Sus scrofa: one gene and its partner. The protein of the gene in region 1 interacts with the protein of each later gene in a pairwise test. Links are inferred from orthologs where the notes say so. Each region holds a gene or a part of one and is shown in the gene's direction. Other genes may lie near its edges.

Region 1 (7,651 bases):
AAAAGAAATCTATTCTCTCACCAAAGGCACACAACTTCTGGTCCTGAAACGTGAAACAGGCTTCACAAACTGTAGTCACGGATCTGCAACATCCGAGTCACCGAACTTTCCAGAAAGGGCAGAATCTCAGTCCCAAGTCCTCCCGTCCCAGAACTTGAATTTTTATCAAGACCTCCTGGAGATTTGTGCATACCTTCTGGTGTGATAACCTGAGCTCCACCCACGCCCTTTTCCCGAATAGCTCGTGAAAGTAGCGTTCAGGTCCCGTGTCTCAGGGAAAACATTCTGGTCTTCCCTCTGTGGGAGAATTTTGGAAAAGAGCGGGAAGCAGTTTGGGTACTAGGTGGTTAATACTTGGTCATGAAGTCAAGAGAATAATGGGAGAATGGAATCCTTTGACAGTTTTCCATCTCTCAGCGAACCCTAAATATTTTCATGCCCTTGTAATTCATAGGAAGCTGCTGTATTTTTGCAGTTCACCACTAGAAAAAAGGCAAATTAAAAAAATTTATATCAGGATTTCCTCCAGTAAGCACCCACTTGGGCTTCACTTTTGCACCTGACCTTGTGCCGACCGCTTGGAATATTCAAATAGTGAGAGTGACTGGTGACTGTCAGACCACAGCCCCTGTCCAATAGGGAACAGACATGCAAAACAAGAGCCAAAATGGCTGCTGGGCCTGGCGTGGCACGTGGCTGGCATGGCATCTCCTTCGAGCTAATCCAAGGCTGCACTCTGTCCGGCTGTGCAATGTAGGGCGCTCTCAATTTGATTCAAACTCTCTATCCGCCTAGGCGCAGCAGAGACAGGCGCACAGGTCGGGGCGCGGAATCCCCCTTTCAAGGGGTGGTGTGGTGGGCGCCACGCTGCCAGGGCGCAGCCGCAAGTGTGCCGTGTGCAGCTCAGGGCGGGGGGGGGGGGGGTCTGTCGCCCAACAACCTCTTGGCGCCACCAGTTTCCCGCTCAGTCTGCACCGTGGCAGCATCGGCGACAGACGCTTAGCGGTTGTGGTGTTCGGGTGCTCTGGCCCGGAGGCATCTCCAGCAGGTACGGGTCGGGGTCTTGTGCACAGAGAGCAACCCAACCATGCGGGATTTCCTCCACTGGCCCTCGCCTCTTTCTTGGCATCCCAGAGGCTGGTGGCTATAGGTTTCCCCTGGAAGCGTGATCCTACTAGATCAGGCCTGGCACCCCCACCATTTCCGTGCCATTTCCAGGCACTGCAACCAGCCTAGGAATTACAGGGGAGCCTATTCTACAGCTAATCCTGTCCACAGCCGTTGCATTTGGGACAGGCTCTGAGCTTCTCTGGAGGGAAAGTGGCTTCAGCCCTTCTCCTGGACTTCACCAACTTTCACTGACTAGATATATTCCTGCTCTGGAATGAGGGGTATTTGAGGTAGTGGGTGTGTGAAGGGGTGGGGGGACTTACTGGGGTGGGCCTAGGTGTGGGTGGGGAGGACGGGGGAATGAGGGTGGGAGTTCTGGGGACAGTAGTTGGACTTGCGTGGTGGCAGGGCTTTCGAAAGGATGTGGTTTGAGTGGCAGCAGTTATTGGGCCAGGCTGGGTACTGCGCTTCTTTAGAGATAGGACTTGAGTTGCGGATGGGACATGGGAAGGGGTGGGACTTGTTGGCGTAGGGATCTAACTTCCGTGGGGGTGGGCTTGGGGTGAGGGGTGGGGCTGGGTGGGGGATGGGACATGGGAGGAGATGAGAGTTGGTGGGGGCAGGGATCTAACTTCCGTGGGGATGGGGCTTGGTGTCACGGGGGTGGGGCTGGGGTGGGGGATGGGACATGGGAAGAGATGGGAGTTGGTGGGGGCAGGGGTCTAACTTCCGTGGGGGTGGGGCTTGGGGTGAGGGGTGGGGCTGGGTGGGGGATGGGACATGGGAAGAGATGGGAATTGGTGGGAGCAGGGATCTAACTGCCATGGGGGTGGGCTTGGTGTCACGGGGGTGGGGCTGGGGTGGGGGATGGGACATGGGAAGAGATGGGAGTTGGTGGGGGCAGGGGTTTAACTTCCGTGGGGGTGGGGCTTGGGGTGAGGGGTGGGGCTGGGTGGGGGATGGGACATGGGAAGAGATGGGAATTGGTGGGAGCAGGGATCTAACTGCCATGGGGGTGGGGCTTGGTGTCACGGGGGTGGGGCTGGGGTGGGGATGGGACATGGGAAGAAATGAGAGTTGGTGGGAGCAGGGGTCTAACTTCCGTGGCGGTGGGGCTTGGTGTGAGGGGTTGAGCTTAGGTGGGGTGGAGCTTAAGATGGAGTTTGTGCCTCAGTAGGAGTGGGACTTGGCAGTGAGTTTGAGATCCGGGTGGAACTGAGGAAAGGTAATAACCTGCCCTAGCACTGAGTACCAGTTGAGCAGTTTCTTGTATTCCAGTACCAGAATACTTGTGGGCACCTCTGTATATAGAATTGGCATAGGCAGAGCAGCAGCATGTCAGCCAGAACCATAGCAAAATACCTGTGCTTGGCCTTGGACAGATCCAGTGAAGCAGTACCCACCACCCCAGGACCAGAAACTGCCTGACTGGCCAGATCCCCAGGGCAGGCCTAGTGTTGAGTGCGGGTGAAATCCCCTCATCTGCACTGTGAATGGGTCCCTAATCAGATGGTAAATAGCTGGGAGGTGGGCCTGTGTTGCAGAGGCTTCTGTAACCCTGATGAAAAGCAGGAGGGGCGGGGTTGCCTGCCTGCCAAGGGTCTGGCAGAGTAAGGTCAAAGCCAGGGTGAGCATTGTCTGTTTCCTACGGTGTGGTACTGGAGACCCTTTTGGAGTCCCTTTTCTGTCCTTGCTTCTAGCTTCTACACAGTTTGAAACTAAGTTCTTTTTCAGTACTTGATCCTTGCTGCCCACCCCCCCCCATTCCCCTCCCTCTTCATGGGTTGGAGGCCAGTGACATCACCTGTTGCTCCTTAGCCTTTCCGCATGACACCCCCTGTGAAACCCGTAGTCCACATGCTTCATCCATGGCAACACTGCAGCTTGTCACACGTTCTCCATACCCACCAGCTTCAATGCCCTGTGCAGCGCTCCAGCCATCTTTCTCCTTTGTCAGGCATATCCTGAGAAAGGAGGGAACGCCACATCTCTGTCCTCTAAACTTTGCCCCAGCAGTAAGGGTACCAGGTGCCCTGGGCCTGCACAGCCCCGAGCCAGGGAGTGGGACAGCCTCTGGTCTTCTCCTAGTTGGAGAGCTTTGAAAGTGTTCCCAGGCATTAGGCCCCACCTCCTGAGGCTGGATTTTTCACTGCAGGCACTTCCAGCACAGACAGTAGGGTCTTCGGACTTTGAGGACGAACCCACGGCAAGCAGAGGTCAGCAGGGAAAGAGTGAGGTGGGGGGAGCTTGGCCTGCAGAGACCCCTCCACCAAATGACTGGGGGAGCCCTGTGAGGCAGAGAATGAGGTTCTGTGAGTGGAAGTGGGGGCAGAGGAGGGGCTTTTGGTGGGGATGGGAGGGTGGCCATTAATGATGCTCTCACCCCATTCACATTATAGGCTGTGGAAACCCAGGACGATTCTGCCTTCATATTTGGCCTTGACTTGCCTGAGTCCTGATCAAACTCTGTGAGCTGGTCCCTGCACCTGGTATTAGATCAGTTCATAGAAAGTGGGAGCAATGGCTGTGACACTGTTGGAGGATTGGTGCAAGGGGATGGACCTGGACCCCAGGAAGGCCCTGCTGATTGTGGGGATCCCCGTGGAGTGCAGTGAGGCTGAAATTAAAGAGACCGTGAAGGCAGGCTTACATCCCCTGTGCACCTACAGGGTGCTGGGCAGAATGTTCAGAAGGGAAGATAATGCTAAGGCAGTTTTCATTGAGTTGGCTGATACTGTCAATTATGCTATGATTCCCAGAGAGATACCAGGAAAGGGAGGTGCCTGGGAAGTGGTTGTGAAACCCCGCAGCTCAGATGATGAGTTTATGAATAGACTCAACTACTTCCTGAAAGACGAGGGCCGGAGAATGGTAGATGTGGCCAAGACCCTGGGATATAGCACTCCCACTGAGGGCATGGAGCCAGAGGCCTCGGATCAGGTCAGGTCACCAGCCTTGCAGCCTCTGAAAGAAAATGTGTGGTACCGAAAACTCAGAGTGTTTTCGGGAAGCACTTTCCCAGGCCCAGACGAAGACAGCTTTGAAGGCTGGCTGGAGCACGTCACTGAGTTGATGCAACTCTGGCAGGTGTCAGAGGTCGAGAAGAGGCGCCGTCTGCTGGAGAGCCTTCGCGGCTCTGCCCTATCTGTCGTGCGGGTGCTCCGGGCCAATGATGAATCTATGACCGTGGAGCAGTGTCTGGACGCCCTGAAGCAAATTTTTGGGACTAAAGAGGACTGCAGAACCTCACAATTTAAGTTCCTCCAGACCTTCCAGAAATCGGGAGAGAAAATCTCTAGTTTTTTGCTACGGTTAGAGCCCCTGCTGCAGAAAGCCGTGCAAAATAGCCCCTTGTCCGTGAGAAGCACAGACATGATTCGCCTGAAACACATCCTGGCTCGGTCCTGCATGAGCACCAGCCTCCGGGCCAAGTTAGAGCTCCTGGATCAGCGAGGTCGTGCTCCCACTTTCCTCGAGTTAATGCAGGTCATTCGAGATGAAGAGGAGTGGGAGGCCACCATGGGCCTGACGAAGGAGAGGCAAGTGGGGAGGGGCCGCAGGGCCTCCGGCAGGCCGGTGCTGGTGGAAGCCAGTGTCCCAATGCCTCAGGTCGTGGTGCAGACGGGGCCCTTTAACGAGAGCAGCACTCAGACCATCCAGGAAGGGATTAGCCTGTCCCTGAAGCGCAGGCGCATGTCATGCTGCTACGGTAGTGGGGAGGGAGGCCACAGCCAGGCAGCATGTCCTAGCGTGGAGAACCAAGCTCCAGCAAACAGAAGCCTCAGTTTGCAGCAGCAGAGTCGGGAAACGAGATGGGGGCTGGGGCAATGAGCCACCCCGAGCCCTAGGAAGCGTAGGCTCAGTACTCCAGGCACCCCTTCCCCTAGCAGGCAACTAAAATATTTTAATGAGATGAAGGAGCAGCCCACACCAAGAGCGGGGGACTTGAGGGGGAGAGAGTGGCAGGGCAGCCAGGCCCAGGCCGAGCCCCCTTGTCTTCTGCCAGCTCAGAGGGGCTCTACCAACCAAGCCCCATGCAGCCCAGTGAGGGCCAGTCAGCACAGGGCCTGGGAGAGGCACTGGCAATGCAAGCAGGGGGCCAGCACACTCGGCAGGTGGGGTGGCCAAGCCTCGGAGAGAGACCCCAAGGCAGAAGAGGCTGAAGAAGGTGTGGTGGGGGGCTCCGGCATGGACCCTGGCATCTGGCCACTCCTTAATGCCCAGAGGGTAGGCTCTGAGCTGATGAAGCTGATGGGCCCCCAGGCCATGTGGGGCCCAGGGGAGCCTCCCCCGGGGCCAGCCCTTCTGGAAGGAGCCAGCGCTGGTGAGGAAGAGCTGTGGGGCGGAGAAGAGATGCCCCGGAGGGGAGCCCGCAGGGTCCAGCCCGTCTTCAGGATCATCTACACCGCTCTAGGGGAGCCCCAGGAAGGCAGCACCCTGGAGCCTCTGCGCAAGTGAGGGGAGGAGACCCAGAGGCCCTGGGAGCCCAGCACCAGCCTACAGGCAGCCTCCTCCCCCTTAAGCTGGAAGGGCTGTGGGGACAAGGTCAGCAAAGTCTGTGCGGAGAAGGTCTCCGTGTCAGAGGCTCAGCTTGAGAGGCAGGGTGCAGGGTACCCTAGTGGGCACAGCTGCTTTGGTGCGAGTGGGTGTGCAAGCGCAAGGAAACTTTAGTTCCCAAGCAGGAGCAGGAGGGAGAGGGCGGGGAAAGAGGACGGGGAGGAGGAAGAGGAGGGGTGGGAGAGTGGAGGAGAAGATGCAGGAGGAGAAGGAAGAAGAGGGAGGAGGATGTAGAAAGAGGAGGAGGGACAAGGAGGGGAGGAGACGGGAAGGAGGAGAGAGGATTGGTGGGTGGGAGGGAGGGGCGTTTGGTTCGGTTTGATGTCTGTGCCGCTGGAGACCTGGGACTGGCCTGGCAAATCACCACTCACCAGCTGCCTATGCCAAAGTCAGCCCCAAAGCCTGCAACCCAGGCAGCCAGCCTAGGTGAGGGGCACCCGAAGACGCCTGCCACCCACACTGGCCCCGGAGACCTTAGGGGCCGTGTCAAGGTGCCTGGGCCTCCCTGTGCTGGGAGCCCACCTGTGTCTCTGTAGCCCCTCGTGACCCACGTATCAAGGCACCCCGCTCCCTGCTCCCCTCCCCTCCAAACACGCACTGACCTTGGTTCCCCTGCAGAGCCCTGAGGTGCCCCTGAGCCCTGGCCAGGTGTCCCCCGCCCACCCAGGCAGCCACCTCGGGGCCCTGCCAGGTGGCCTGAGCTTCAGCGCCAGCCAAGGCTCTGCTTGCTGTGGTCCCGTGTCCCGAGCTCACTGTCTGCTTTCTGGGCGTAGATGTAGGCCCCCGCCGCCATGCGTCCTTGTGGGGATGTGCCTGTGTCCTTCTCTGAGTAGCTCCCCCGGCCCAGTCCCGGGAGACAGTGGGAAGGACAGGATGGACGAGGGCGAGGCCAGCGCCCACCACGTGACCTGCAGAAGGAAGACCTGGACCACCCGTGGCCGGCGGGGACTTCGGGAGGCTCCACTGTGTCCTGCGGTTCCAGCCCGTCTCTCCTCGTGACTCAGTTTCCTTGGCGTGGTGGAGCGTGTCCTGCTGTGGGTCAGAGGCGGAGGGGGCATCCTGGGGGGAGGGGACATTGCTGGGGTCCATCGTCCTGGCGAGAGGCCGCCCGCGGGGCCCTCAGGAAGGAGACCATGGGGCAAGGGAGGGTCACAGTGGGGGTTGCTCCTGAGGCACTGAGTTGGGGACCGGGGGTGGGCAGTGGGACCTGTGGGCTCCAGCGGCTGTTTGAAGTTGTTCTCTGTGTTGTCACTCTCTGTCCTCAATGGTTTCAGTCAATGCTTCTCATCAATAAATTTCACGGACAGTTTCCGCTGAGTCTGCCTCTGCTGTGGGCAATGGAAGGGGGTGGGGGCGGAGGGAGGCACCAGTGGGCTGGTATCCCCAGTGGGCACTGGGGTGTGGTCCAGGCAGGGTCCAAGAAGGTCTGTGGGGTTCCCTGGCCTGGATGGAGCCGGGCGGCAGGGACTTGTGAGCACAGGCCGTGGCTGGTGGGTCCCTGGGAAACTCAGGGAGCCCCCAGAAATATGTGTGTTAGACGTTGGAGGGGGGGACAGCAGGCAGGACCCAGTGGGTTCAGGGAGTCAATCCCCAGGACCAGTCACAGATGGGTCCAGGCGTGAGGTCAGAAAGCCCTGACGGGAGCATGACACAGGACTCTGGGGTGGGGGGGTGGGGGATGCTTGCTCACCCAGGGGCACCCCCTTCCTGTCCCACTCCGTCCCCTGCACCAGCCCTGTGTCCTGGGAGAGGCGGGATGGGGGCGCTGTGCGTGCTCTCCATCTGCCTTTTAGTGACTCGGCGACTTTGGACCTGGAATGACCTGAGCCATCGGGCCCCTCCCTGCAGGGGTCTGGGGAAGGAGGGCAGGAGAGCCAGGCCTGTAGCCTCCTCGGTCCAATGGGTTGGTGCCTTGTTGCGGGGACCCTTGGATGTGCCCCACGCGGTGTAGGGCAGGATGGAGTGAGGCCCCAGGTGGCCCCGC
Region 2 (7,096 bases), on another chromosome or scaffold:
CCCACTGCAGACACGGGAGGGGCACTGCCTACCCTTCCTCCAGCAATGGGTCTGCCTCTTCCTGGACTCTCTGGGCTGTGGAGCCTGTCATCTCGGGCAGGTCTCCCCATGACCCGTGGCCGAGGGTTGCATTCGTGCATCTGAGCTCCGTGTGTTGTGAGACAAGGGGACCCGTTAGGCAGAGGTTCCACCCCAGCTGTCCCATCCTCCTTCCAGGCCACTCACGGGCAGCCCAGGGCCATCCCGAGGCTCCTGCCTGCTGGTTGTCCCAGGAGCTGAGTGCCCAGGGGTGGGGTTACCTTTGGTTTGCAAGCTGGGGTTCAGCTCCTCAGCACGTCTGTCGGGGCAGAGCCGGCCGCAGGCGAGTGTGGCCTGAGCTCCCCTTGGCCTGGCGTGTCCTTCCATCTCTCATCCAGTGGCCTCTGTGGCAGCTCTCGTCAGCGTCCCATCTGTGAGGTGGGGTTCAGCACCTCAGCCCCTCCTAGGCCCGTAGCTGCGGCCCTGCCTCCCCAGTGACGCTTCAGGGGGGCCCTGATGGCTGCCCCACCGGGGCGCAGCTTCCCCCGATGCCTCTAGGAGCTGGCTGGGACTGAGACACGCCTGTCGTGCAGAACTTGATTGAAGAGCTCAGAAAGTTGTCATTCTCCCACATCCTGACTCATCCTTTTCTTTAAGAGATGTTTTTATTGTGGGAAAATACATGTAATATTTTCTTTTGAACCATTTTAAGTCCGTAGCGTTAAGCACACCCACATTGCTGTGCAGCCATCACTCTCCACCTCCAGAAATCCCTCGTTCCCCAGACTGAAGCTCTGTCCCCAGTAAACACTAAGTCCCCACCCCTCGGCCGGCCCTGACACCCGCTGGTCTATGCATTGGCCAGTCTTGGGACCTCCTCTGAGTGGGTTTGTGTGGCGTTTGTCCTTGAGTGACGGGCTTGTTCCACCCTGCCTCCTTCATGTGCTCCAGGCTCACCCATGGCGTAGCATGTGTCAGAATCTCCTTTCCGTCTCAGGCTGAACAGTCTTGCGTCAGTGGACGAGTAGCACGTTGGGTTTGTCCACCCACCCACGGGCCCTTGGTTGCTTCTACCACCTGGCTGTTGTGAACAATGCGCCTGCGAACACAGTTGTGTGAACAGCTCTTCCGAGTCCCTGCTTTTGCTTCTCTCAGTGTGTGCCCCGAAGTGGAACTGCTGAGCCGTGTGATGGCTGTGTGTTTAGTGTTTGGAGGAGCCCCCGTGCTGCTTTCCCAGGCATCTGCACTGTTTCACTTCCCTCCGGCGGTGCAGAGGCTCCAGTGTCTCCACATCCTCGCCAACACTTGCTTTCTGTTCAGTTGCTAGTAGCCATCTCCTGAGTGTCGGGTGGTCTCATTGGGGAGTTTTTTTTACTGTGTTTTGGTTATGCGGTGGCACGTGGAAGTTTCGAGGCCAGGGATCAAACCCACGCCACAGCAGTGACCTGAGCCACAGCAGTGATGATGGCAGATCCTCAGTCCCTGTGCCACCGGGGAACGCCCCATAGTTTTGACCTGCATTTGACTGATGATCAGTGATGCTGAGCATTTTTTTCTTTTTTGGCCGCTGCGCAGCACATGGAGCTCCTAGGCCAGGATCAGGTCTGAGCTGCAACTCTGGCAACCCACTGTGCCGGGCCAGGGATTGAACCTGTGTCCTAGTGCTGCAGAGATGCTCCAATCCTGGTGCACTATGTGGGAATTCCTACCCATTTTTACTTATTTATTTATTTATTTGCCACACCTGCAGCATGCAGAAGTTTCGGGGCCAGGGATAGAACCTGTGCTACAGCAGTGACAACACCGGATCCACGGTGCCACCAGGAAACTTTTAGGTTTTAATTGAGTTGTAGAGTTCTTTATATATTCTAGACTTGAGTCTCTCATCAGCTAGATGATGTGCAGATGATTCCCCCCTCCCATTGTGTAGGTCGCCTTTTCAGCCTATTGGTTGCCTTTTTTTTTTTTTTTTTTTTTTTTAAAGGGCTGCACCTGCGACATGAAAGTTCCCTACACCACAGCCACAGCAATGCCAGATCCAAGCCGTGTCTGCAGCCTGCACCACAGCTCACAGCAACGCTGGATCCTTAACCCACAGAGTGAGGCCAGGGACCAAACCTGCATCCTCGTGGATCCTAGTTGGGTTCGTTAACCACTGAGCCATGAAGGGAACTCCTTTGATTGCCTTTCGATACACAGAACTTTTGGATTTTTCACGGACTCCTTGTGTCTACTTTTTCTTTCCTTGCTGTGCCTTTGGTGTCATATCCAAGATCATTGCCAAAGCCGACGTCATGAAGCTTTGTCTGATGTTTCTGAGTGTTTTATAGTTGGAGTCTTTGTTAGGTCCTCAGTCTATTCTGAGTTCATTTTTGTATGCGATGTTCGAAGAGGGCGACCCTTCCTTTTTAACCAGGTCCCTCCAGGCTTGGCCACCAGGGAGGGTGGGCAGGGGATGGTTCACCCGGTCCTTGGCCATCACGGTGCGGGTGCTGCTTCCTTGGAAGGCCAGCTGCTCCCTCCCTGGGGTTTGCCCCCCTCTCCTGTACCTGTTGCGAGGCCTGTGCAGGCACCTCAGTTTGAGCATCAGGCAGAGTTTTTCGGTTGTGACCTTCGAGCTCCTCCAGCAAGATGCACGGTTAGATGTAGAGCCGCACGCGGCACCGAAGCAGAGGCGGCTTAGCCAGGTGCAGAGGCCAGTGCTCTTGCGGCCACCAGCAGGGAGAGAGGCTGCCTGGCCTTGCTCAGGGGGCGCAGGCTTGGCTGGGCCTGGGGCTGAGACCACATGATCTACATACCTGTTGTGTGCCTGGCTGTCCGAGGGGTGGGGGTGATTGACCAGCGAGGCAGACACAGCCCTGCCCTGTACCTTTTTGCGGTTGAGGTTACAGAGAAGTAAGTCCCGGCGTCGGGGTGGGCCAGAGGAAGGTCGGGCTGCCAATCAGAATGTGGGGGAGGCATCCTGAGATGAGCAAGCCTCTTGTCCATCCCTGGAGTCAGTCCTTGTCACCTCCGTGCCTCAGCTCTTTCTGGCCAAAGAGTACTGACGCGTCTGCCTCTCTCTTTAAGGGAGCAAAGCTTATACTGGCTCGCGATTCAGCAGCTTCCCACGGACCCCATAGAGGAGCAGTTCCCTGTCCTGAACGTGACCCGGTACTACAATGCCAACGGGGACGTGGTGGAAGAGGAGGAGACGTCCTGTACCTACTACGAGTGCCATTACCCTCCCTGCACGATGATTGAGAAGCAGGTGCGCTGCAGCTGGCTCCGGCCGCCCCAGCCCTGCCCGGGGTCTGGTCCCTACAGACCCCAGGCCTCTCCTAGAGCTGCCCTTTTGCAGCTTCCCGGCTGTGGTGGCTGTCCCTTTGTCGCCGCCTGACCGGGGCCCAGGCCCTTCCACCCAGTGCAGGGGTTGCCGGGTCCTCGCGTAGTCTGTGCCCCACAGCCGACTCCCCAGCGTGACCTGTGTGTCCTTTCAGCTCCGGGAGTTCAACATCTGTGGGCGCTGCCAGGTGGCGCGCTACTGTGGCTCCCAGTGCCAGCAGAAGGACTGGCCCGCGCACAAGAAGCACTGTCGGGAGAAGAAGCGCCCCTTCCAGCACGAGCTTGAGCCGGAGCGATGACCGATGACCGGGCAGCAGAGCCGCCTCAGGCCCGAGATGCCGCGGTGTCTGGATCTCCGCGGGGAGGTGTGGACCAGGCTGATGGCTGGACCAGAGCTACTGGAGGAGCCGCCCAGCCCCGCCCCCGCGCCACTGGCCCCGCCCCCGCCCCGCCCCCGCGCTCGCCTGGAGCTGGAGCAGAGACCGCTGGGAGGCTCCGCAGGGACAGTTCTCATTATTTATATGTTAATATGTTTGTAAACTCATGTACAGTTTTTCTGGGGGGAGGCCGTGGCAGGGTTAGAAATTACAAATAGTGTCATTTGCTGTAACACTCAAATTCTCCGGGTAGCCGGGTCGAGGAGGGCGGCCTGCCTGGGACCTGGCACAAGGCAAAGTAAAGGGTGGGACACCCGGGACCCTGACTGTGCCCTTCTCTGCTCGCCTCCTCCCCGGTCGTCCGTGGACGTGGGTGTGGCTGGAGCCTGTGCTGTGGCCAGGCCTGGGGGTGGCTGCCGAGGTCGGCACTCTTCTCAGCCACCACTGGTGCCCTCTCGCTTTGACTCAAGAAGCGCGGGCGTCGGGGCTCAAGGTGGGGCCTCTGCCAACAGCTTTGCTGTTTCCTGGCCTGGGCCGTGGCCCCCAGGCCAGGCCTCCCTCTCCTTCCTGGAAGCCACAGAACACTGAGCACTGGGCAGCATCTTGTACACCTTGCATGGCCATCTGGGGGCCAAGAGCCAGGCTGTATGGACTGGAACTTACAGGTTTGCAGGGAGAGTGAAGGCTGGGCATGCCAGCTGTGGTCATCCATCGAGGGCCATGCCAGGCACCACGTGGGTCCCGCAGGCCCCTGCCACACTTCCCCTTTTGCAGCTCTTCTGCCATCTTCAGAATCCCCTGTGTGTTCTTGCTTCCCTGGCTGAGGCCAGCCCCCTTGGTAGCCTGTGGTCCATGAGCTGAGCTTTTGGTAGTTTCTGCAGAGCTTGGAGTCCTCCTGGGGAACAGGCTGGCGAAACAGGAGACAGCAACATGCCAGGAGCTGGAGGGGAGCCTCAGTCCTAACCCCGAGGGAGGGTTTTCTGTAGTTGGAGAAACTCCACCTGCCCCACATGCGTTTCTGCTGAGAAGACTTTGCTGCTGTCTGTGCGAGTCAGCTGTGCGTCTTCCCGGGCAGGGCCTCTTCTGCACGGGTGAGGTCTGCGCTAGGTACCTCCAGGCCCAGGTGGGGCAGTAATGGGGGCTCAGAACTGTCAGGAAGATATGTGGGATCCCGAGAGCCCTACGGGCAGCAGCGGCCCTGAGCCCTTGGGATGTTCCCAGAGCCGGGCCAACTCCTGCTTCCTGAGGCCAGCTCTGGGCAGGGATGTTGGGGTGAGGGGACCTGTGTCCGTTTGGGTGAGCTTCCAGGCATGGGAGCCTGCCTTCGTAGGCTCCTGGGATGAGGAGGCCCCAGATCACAGGTTGTATCTTGCCTGTGTCCTTTGGGGAGTAGCCAGGTCGACACTCTGGCCTGTCTGCATTCTCTGGCCAGCGTGAATTGTTTTGTGGCCAGCTGGTCATTGGAAAATTGCATTGAAAGGGAAGTGGGAGGGTTTCAGCTGACCTAGTGGACAACACACTGGGTTCTGACCCCTGGTCACTTTCTCCCATGGCTTGTGGCACATTTGGAAGAGCCTTCACTTGGGGCCACAGGACTGGTGCTGTAGCTGGTGGCTGTCCCTTGCCTGATGGTATTGCATCCCATGCTGGAGCAGGGATGGTGGCCATGGGGTCCTGGGGTTTCCCTCCATTGCTGTCGCTGCAGCAACTGGAGTGGATGCACTCGGAAGGTGCCCCGAGGTCCACACATTCAATTCCCATTTGTTTTCTTTGTCCTTTATCTGATGTCCAGCCCCTGGTTTCTCTTCTGATGGCCTCCACCTCTTGATCTTTATAGCCACACATCTCAAAATGTTTGGAAGCTCAGCATCCATTCATATGGCTGAAACATGGAGTTTGTTTCCCATCTGTTTGGAATGTGCTGGTTGGGGATGCTTGACTTCACTGGTACCGGACCAAATCCAGGACGGCCTCTTGCTCCCCGATCAACCTTTTCTGCTTCCTTGCTTCAGCTGCATCTGACCTGCTGACTCAAATCTGTATTGCCAGCTGTGGAAACCACTTCAAAACCACAGGCTGATTACCCAAGGATCCATGTGGATTCCAGTCCCATTTCCTGGAGCTGCCATAACAAAGTATCACAAACTACCTTAAAACAGAAGCCGCTGTGTGGTCTTGATTCTGAGAGCCAGAAGTCTCTAGGACCGTGCGCCTTCCAAGGGCTCTAGGGGTGTGTTACAGGCTCCTAGTTTCTGGCAGTCACAGGGGGCATTACCTTGTAGATGCCCTGGCATTGTCTTCCATCTGTGGGCGTCTGTCCCTAACAGTCTCCTTCATAAGGACGTCAGTCATATTGGATTAGGGCCACCCTAATGGCCTCATTTGAAATGGGTTACCTACGCAAGGACCCTGTTTCCAAAGGACACTTTCTACGTATTATTGGATAGGACTTTAACAGCTTTTAGGGGGATGCTACTCAGTCCATAGCAATATCCAGCACTTACCTGCTCCAAACTTGTTCTGTGGAGTCACGGAAATTTTTTTTTTTTTTTTTGATTGGTGTCAGCACATCATCAGTTTCCAATCAGATTGTGGCTGTGCTGGCTCCCCTGCCTTACATCCTGCCCCTGGGGTCCAGACCTTGGCTCTTCCCCATGCCCTCTGCTCATCCTCATACCTGCCACTCCTGCCTGCGGCCCTCTGGGCGGCCCCATCTCCTTTCTCTGCTGTCCTGGCTGGCAGGTCTGCGTCCACCGGTGCAGCACTAGGGGAGCTCCCGGGGTGACAGGGAGGGCAGCCCTGGCGCAGGCCTTTGGGTCAGACCTTGAACGGCTCCCTGAATGTCAGGGCCTTTGCACACCCTACTTCCATGCTCTGCTTTCCTCCTCTGATCCCCCTTCAGAGCCCAGCTCTCCCGTGCCTCCATGCAGGACACTGGCTGTCCCTTCCAACGCCTGGTGTCTGGCCACCAGGGCAGGCAGCGCGCCGGGGCACGTGGGGCCCTCTAAGGTCCGCCGACAGGGGGCGCGGGAGCCCGGCCTCTTGCGGAGTGGCAACGGGAGACCGGAAGTCCCGCCCCGGAAGGAGTAGTGGGGAGACGGCGGAAGTGGAACGTGCCCCGCAGCCCTGGGCTGTGCTGTCTGCCTTGCCGGGCTTACCACCCCGTTTTCAAGCTGGCTTCTTCACGCCTCCTCCCGGTGTCCGCCACCCCTGTGACTGCGACGTCCTCCTCCTCCGAGTGCTGGGCGGCCAGCAGTCGCGTCCGGCTGTTGCAGGCGGTGGACACAGAGTACACCGCGGACTCGGTGGAGTGGTGCCCGCTGGAAGGCTGCAGGCACTTGCTAGTGTGCGGCACCTACCAGCTGCAGAAGCCGGAC

What was found. The genes of interacting proteins can lie anywhere in the genome.
Region 2: the proteins of PNMA5 (region 1) and ZMYND19 interact in binary tests that used the Homo sapiens proteins (3 or more experiments, as listed by UniProt). The two-hybrid records come from large-scale screens. The link is inferred for Sus scrofa from reciprocal best matches to the Homo sapiens genes PNMA5 and ZMYND19.

Annotation. Positions count from the first base shown.
Region 1 is NC_010461.5:123,995,407-124,003,057, forward strand, and holds PNMA5 (paraneoplastic antigen-like protein 5), read left to right. Parts: upstream 1-3,528; 5' UTR 3,529-3,630; coding exon 3,631-4,941; 3' UTR 4,942-5,795; downstream 5,796-7,651.
Region 2 is NW_018084833.1:413,808-420,903, forward strand, and holds the end of ZMYND19 (zinc finger MYND domain-containing protein 19), read left to right. Parts: intron 1-3,087; coding exon 3,088-3,268; intron 3,269-3,497; coding exon 3,498-3,641; 3' UTR 3,642-4,039; downstream 4,040-7,096. UniProt on the Homo sapiens protein: May be involved as a regulatory molecule in GPR24/MCH-R1 signaling.